Saccharomyces cerevisiae S288C: one gene and its partner. The protein of the gene in region 1 interacts with the protein of each later gene in a biochemical or structural test. Each region holds a gene or a part of one and is shown on either strand. Other genes may lie near its edges.

Evidence for each region.
Region 2: the proteins of ARG3 (region 1) and CAR1 form a complex in vitro, tested with the Saccharomyces cerevisiae proteins (one study listed by BioGRID).

Annotation. Positions count from the first base shown.
Region 1 is NC_001142.9:266,951-270,594, reverse strand, and holds ARG3 (ornithine carbamoyltransferase), read right to left. Parts: upstream 1,797-3,644; coding exon 780-1,796; downstream 1-779. Other genes in the region: TRL1 (tRNA ligase), read left to right, coding at 1-593; SIP4 (Sip4p), read right to left, coding at 2,180-3,644.
Region 2 is NC_001148.4:337,921-341,516, reverse strand, and holds CAR1 (arginase), read right to left. Parts: upstream 1,574-3,596; coding exon 572-1,573; downstream 1-571. Other genes in the region: GDE1 (glycerophosphocholine phosphodiesterase), read left to right, coding at 1-449; PEX25 (Pex25p), read left to right, coding at 2,897-3,596.

The DNA of each region.
Region 1 (3,644 bases):
TCTCAGCTAAAATAGAAAACTACGATGAAATTATTGAATTGGTCAAGAGGTGTATTGCTAGCGATGCAGAGCTGACTGAGAAATTCAAGCATTTACTAGCTAGTGGAAAAGTTCAGAAGGAACTTCATATAACATTAGGTCATGTCATGTCGTCCCGTGAAAAAGAGGCAAAAAAGTTGTGGAAATCATATTGTAACAGATACACTGACCAGATAACGGAGTACAATAACAACCGCATAGAAAATGCACAAGGCTCTGGTAATAACCAAAATACGCAGGTAAAAACGACCGACAAACTGAATTTTAGGCTCGAAAAACTATGTTGGGATGAAAAAATCATTGCTATTGTAGTGGAACTGTCTAAAGATAAAGATGGATGCATAATTGATGAAAACAATGAGAAAATTAAAGGGTTGTGTTGTCAAAACAAAATTCCTCATATTACGCTGTGCAAACTTGAAAGTGGTGTTAAGGCTGTTTATTCCAATGTTCTATGTGAGAAGGTTGAATCTGCTGAAGTTGATGAAAATATAAAAGTGGTGAAATTGGACAACTCGAAGGAATTTGTTGGCAGTGTATATTTAAATTTTTAGACCGCGGTCTGGCTGTCTTAAAAACGTTAATTTCGTTTAACCAAGTGCTTTATTTGCTTGGAATGTAACATAGTTTTACTAACATTTTTTTTTTTTAATTGACATTGCAAAATAATCAATGTATATCATTATTCATGCATCTATATCTGTATTTATATATTAGTTATTAAGAACACGAAAGAAGGATTATTTCAAGTCCTTGAAATTACCTTTATTATTAACAAAGATATCAATGGCAGACATAGCTGCATATAATCTGTTTTCTGCTTCTTCAAAGACTATGGAATGCTCTCCATAAAAGACATCATCACTAACTTCTTCTTGATGTCTTGGCAGACAATGCATAAATTTGTAGTTTGGATCAGCCACAGAGACAAGTTCTTGATTGATTTGAAAACCTTTGAATTGTTTCAGCTTGGCCTGTTTCGCAAATTCTTCACCCATGGAAACGAAAGTATCGGTTACTAATATATTGGCATTGGTGGAGGCCTTTAAAGAGTCGTGTGTTAATTCAAATGTCGCACCGTTTCTCTCAGCAACTTTCTTTGCTTCATCGACAATATCGGAATCCATTTCAATACCGGGGGGAGTGGAAATACTGACACTTATACCGAATTTCAGACATGCGATGCACATATCATTTATGACATTATTGGCATCACCAATCCATGCCATCTTCAATTTTGAATTGATTCCCTTATTTACTTCATCTAGAGATATATTGAAGTTTTCGATTATTGTTAAAAGATCACAAATTGCTTGCAAAGGGTGGAATTTGTCACATAGAGAGTTGATGATCGGTACAGAGGAATCCTTGCAAAAAGCAAGTATGTCTTCATGTTTGTTCACACGGGCAAAAATACATGAAACCATAGATGATACAACCTTGGTGGTATCGTAAAATGATTCATTGACACCAAGCTGAATATCCTCTTTACCTAAAAACATCGGTTGGGCACCAAAGAAGGTGGCTGCACCTTCGGTCGAAATTCTCGTTCTAGTTGATCTTTTAGTAAATATTAAGGCTATAGTTCTACCCAATAGTTTCAGATGGTTGGATTGGAAATCATTCGTTTTATTTGCTTTAAAAACATTCTTGAAATGTTGAGCTCTTTGTACTAAGATTCTGAATTCTTCATCAGAAAGATCTTTTATAGAAATCAAATGACGTAAAGATGAAGGCGTGGATGCTGTGGTTGACATGGTAACGAGTGTACAAGTTGATGGGTAGATGGCTAAAAAAAAAAAAAAAAATTGCTCGTTATTAACTGTACTTAAAGGACATACAAGGAATAAACTGCCTTTAGAGGTGAAAAGTCGATTTATATAGGTAGATTTTTTTGGATGGACGGGAATGGGAAGCCGCGCCGAAGAAAGAAACGGTGACCAATCCGGCTCAAAAAAATTTGTCCGGGCATTTCTCAGCGGCCGATACTGCTGTGAGTTGCACTTAACGGAAAAAATGACCAGTTTTTTGTCATCTCGAAACGAAACGGAACAAGAAAGCATATGAGTCACGACGTGACCCTCGAAAATTCACTGCTATCAGAGGAAGAGCTGAATGAGTAATACGAAGGAGCGTAATGTTAGAAGGTCGAGTTCAAAATATTCTGGATCTTGAATTTTTGTTTACTGGAGTCATGGTTGCTAACGATGTCTCGGTTATCTAAAATAATATGATCTAAATATTTTTTCTTAGAAGACGTAACTGATGGCGAATCAGGGTTTAAATTTAAATTTGTATCTGTGTTGAAATCTACCGAATTGCTATCTCTGTTTTCAAATAGGGATAACCTTTGTGAAAGCTCTTTATTCCTATTCTTGCATTTATTTTTACTTTTTTTAAAAGGAATTTCTAGTGGTAAGCTATTGTCACTGTCACTATCCTCTTCATCATCATCTTCCGCATATCCTTCATCTGTTTCGTAGTCATAGTTTTCAAAGTTGTTCATAAAAATTTTATTAAAATCGTATGGTGACGCATCTAGGAAATTGGAGTTAGAACTCGAGTGTTGCAAAAGGTTTAGCTGGGTATTGACCTTAGACGCGAAATTCGACTTGACTGAACTTGAATTAAAGCTCGATACGGCATCCAAATATCTCAATTTATTCAAACTTATTAACAATCGTTGCTCTTCTTGTGAGTAATGGATTGTCTCAAAAGGAAGTAATTTGAAATTGATTTTGAGGATTTGTAAAAAAGGGTTTGTGGAAAATTCATCATAGTACCATATTGGACACCAGTGATTTAAAAAGTTTTGAAATTTTTCAAACTTTATTTTACTTGAGTGGGGCTGGTTTTGACCACTTTCGTATTTAAGTGATAATGACCAATTGTTTAAATTGTTTAAACATAAGTCAATAATGTCAATACTATTGAAGGGCGTAAAATGGTAGAGATTTAGTTGCTGTGGTTGTAACTGTTGATTATCATCATTATTAGAGTCATCTGTAAGAATTAAAAAATATAGGGACAATATCTCTAACGAGATATCCTCTTTCTTCAAATCTTGGTCCCCTTCCTTTAAAGTCATTAATTTTAAACTCAAGTAAAATAAAGTTAATTGAATCTCCACAAAATCAGGTTGATTGAGTTTGTGATTTAGACCCGTCAAATTCTTAAGTAGTAAATTTGTTGTTAGTTTTTTATTTGAACTGGATGTTAAGAATCGGAAGTTATCGTGATCACTCAAATTGTGATAAAGGTTCCACAGTAATAAATTTTTTTTAAAGCTTTCCAGTTCATTCTGGAAAAATTGGAAATTTGGGTCCGAAACATTTAAAGATGAGATATTCAACAAATTACATCCATCCAAAGAATATATGATGAAGTTTAACAAAATTTCAAAGGGCTTCAGCCTGGGGATTTCTAGAACCGAGATTGATTTCGGTTGAAATTCTTCAGTTAAAAAGTTGGACTTTGGTAAACCTTGAATTAAGGACCACCATGAGCTTAAGAATTGAAAGCACCAAAATGTCACTATTCTATCATCCTCTTCATTAGATTTATTATTATTATTGTTGCCTGATATAGGAATTAAATTTTTGGGA
Region 2 (3,596 bases), on another chromosome or scaffold:
GGCAAATAATGATGGAAATGAACCATTGGGTTGACACCGTGTTAAAAGTAGTTTTTGACAATGCGAATGGTAGGGACATCATTTTTTCGTCATTTCATCCGGATATTTGCATCATGCTTTCGTTAAAGCAACCGGTTATTCCGATCTTGTTCCTGACGGAAGGTGGAAGTGAACAGATGGCCGATTTGAGAGCCTCATCGTTACAAAACGGTATAAGATTTGCTAAGAAGTGGAATTTATTGGGGATTGTATCTGCTGCAGCACCCATTTTAAAGGCCCCACGGTTGGTGCAAGTGGTTAAGTCTAATGGGCTGGTATGTGTCACTTACGGTGTGGACAACAATGATCCCGAAAATGCCAGTATACAAATTGAAGCAGGTGTAGATGCCGTGATCGTCGATAGTGTATTGGCAATTAGACGTGGGTTAACCAAAAAGAATGAAAAGTAACGAAGATACACTACTTTTATTTTTAATTTATTTTCTTTTTTTGTTCGTAAATTTATGTATGCATGTGCTTAACTAAAATAAAAAGAGAATGCTTATTTTGATAAAAGGGATGATGATATAAACTACAATAAGGTTTCACCCAATGCACACCTTGCAATGGCGCAACCTGCAGAGATGGTGTTTGAAACATGGATATCATGAATAGCCAGATCAGGGTTACATTCAACAACGTCTAGCGCAATTAAATTACCGGATTCGGCCAATCTTTCCACCAAGAAAAGACCTTCTCTCAAGGTCAACCCACCTCTCACTGGAGTACCTGTAGCAGGAATGTATAATGGGTCTACACCATCGACGTCATAGGAGCACATAATGGGACCTTCACCGTTTGTTTCTGGGTGCACGGCTTTCATTGCCATTTCAATGACAGCGTTGATGCCGTATTTGTCAACGTGGTACATGGAAAAGGCGGCGATACCCAGATCTTTCAAGATTTTCTTTTCTCCGGCATCAACATCTCTCAACCCAATATACGCGATCTTTTTTGGGCTCAAGTTGCCTGGAACCCATTTGAGCGACTCGGGACAATGTGGGACATCCTTGTTCAAACCCATTAGGAATGACACGGGACAGCCGTGCAAGTTTCCAGAGGGGGTGCTTTCTATGGTGTTTATATCAGCGTGGGCGTCTATCCATAAAAGACCAGCATCGGGGTATTTGTCCAAAACCGCGGATACAGTACCAATGGCTATTGAATGATCACCACCCAAGGTCAAGGGGAATCTGTTCGCCTGGACCACTTTCGACACGGAGTTGTACACCAACTTGGTGGCTTCACCAACCAAATCTGCTCTTTTAGCCTTGACACCGTCTATCATAACAGAGGAACCCCCAGTTGTGGAGTCCTTCTCCATTTTCAACTTTCCCACAAATTGGGCCTCGTCCATTGAGGGCTCTAATTCCGTAGACCAGCCCAAATCCTCTATGCTTGTTTGCAGACCATGCTTAAGCATGTATTTAGGGCCCTTCTCGACACCAAGCTTACCCTGACCGCCGCTGAATGGAGCCAGAACGATGGACAATTCGCGATTTTTGTAGTAGTTGTAATGAGGTCCTGTTTCCATCTTGATAGTAGTTATTGTTATTGATATAGTTGTTGTTGTTGTTTCTGCTAACTTTGAGAAAACATATACAGACCAAGAGAAGAGAAACAGTCTTAGATCTTGATAGAAAGTGGGCCGCAAGCTCTGCTTATATACTCTTTAGACCCCTCGGCGGCTACCGCTAAGTGAAAAATTCAGCGAGCGGCGATGCGCTGTTGATTGCCATTAGCAGCACGGTGCTTTGCGAAGGGCAAGAGCTAGAGACTATTCGCACTAGCCGATATTTTCGCGGCGTCTCGGCTTCTTGTAAGGGATAGAAAAAAACTGTTAATGGAAGGAGCAATCAAAGGGCGGGGATCGCGGGCGACGGTGCGGCATCGAAAAAGTGAAGAACCAGTAAAAATAGAGGTGGGGTTTATCAGTGTTGATATCTAAGTTTATGATAAACATTGATGAGTCAGGGATTGCACCCGTAGTTCATCCGTATGATGTGATGTTGTTTGTTTTTGTTTCATGTAAGGTTGCTAGAATAGGGTCCTGTCAGACAGTATGCGTAGCTTTACCATCATTTCGCCGCTATATGTGAAGGGCCGTAAATTGGATATACGGTATGTAAAAATCAGCGGAATATTATGATGAGAAGTGAGAAAATTGAAGTCAGTAATCTTGGATATTCAGAACTGTCAATCCTCAGTTTGGCCAATTTTATTTAATTTGTTAATAGCAGAACTTACCGGGCGGTCCAGTTTTGCCTACACGGTTTGGTATAAAGTTTAAAAAGCATATATACGAGCTAGATGAAGTATCCAATAGAGTTTTTCTCACGATGGTATTGGAATAGCTTCCTTGAAAGGTAACTACATACAGTGTCGAGGAAAAATAGACAATTACTTAAAGGAGTAAATGTTACTATACCTGAAAGAAATTAAGAGTCGCCATGCGTAGCAGTAATCACAACCGACATCGGGGAAGAGTGAGGGGAGCAAATTGGATGTAAATATTTTGGTGAATTTGCTCGGTACGCGCTAAACTCACATGATTTAGCAGCGCCGTGGCGCAGTGGAAGCGCGCAGGGCTCATAACCCTGATGTCCTCGGATCGAAACCGAGCGGCGCTAAATTTATTTTTTTCTTTTTACTCTTCATTTTTTTTCCAGGTCGGTGATAGTATATGAAATTCCGGTGGGATTGGGCTTATTATTTCAGGTTATATAATTTTTGAAATACGTTTTTCTTCTTTCTTCTCAGAATCATCGGTAATTTGTATGCTGGAGAAAGTAACAAATAGAGTCGATATCCTCAACTTCCCTGTAAGTCTTCACCTATAGAAACTGGTCGTAAAACAATGAGTCAGTTTGGCACGACAGATATCGTTTCCGGTTCAGAAACACCACCTTATTCTGGGGCAAGTTACCAGGACGCCCAGGATGACAATACCCATCCACATTCATCAGACGCCGGTGCAGAGAAGTTCAGTGCAGGCAGTGGAAGCGAGTCGCATACTGAATCCTCGAGAAGTGATGATGAGGATTCTCAAGCAAAAACAAAGATGGTGGATAATATTACCATCTTAAAATATATATTGGATTCTCTATCTGGTAGAGACAAATTAGCCAAAATTATCAAATACGCTCTGGATATATTAAAACTGTTTATCGAAAAGTCTAAGCGAAATTTAACTGTTTTGGACCCTTCCGTATTAACGTACTATACCAAGATTTTGAAAAATCTGACTGTAAAAGTCGCACTAAGGCATCCAATCACGGTAATTAAAGTACTTCTCCTGTCTCTTTTGAGAAATTTTGACAAGAAAATTGATTTTATCAGTCAACAATTAAGTACTTTTAGATATATTTTAAGGTTTGGCGGCACACCATTCCGAGTGTGCAGTTTCTTGGGGAAATTCAATAAAACCAGAAAGTGCAACTTTCAAATTGACCAAATTAAGAAAATATGGTTTAATGAAGCTTCATTGAGAGAATTTTTGGACTTGTATTATGGTATCTTTGATGAATTAGACTTGCTATACAAATTGAAAATATGGA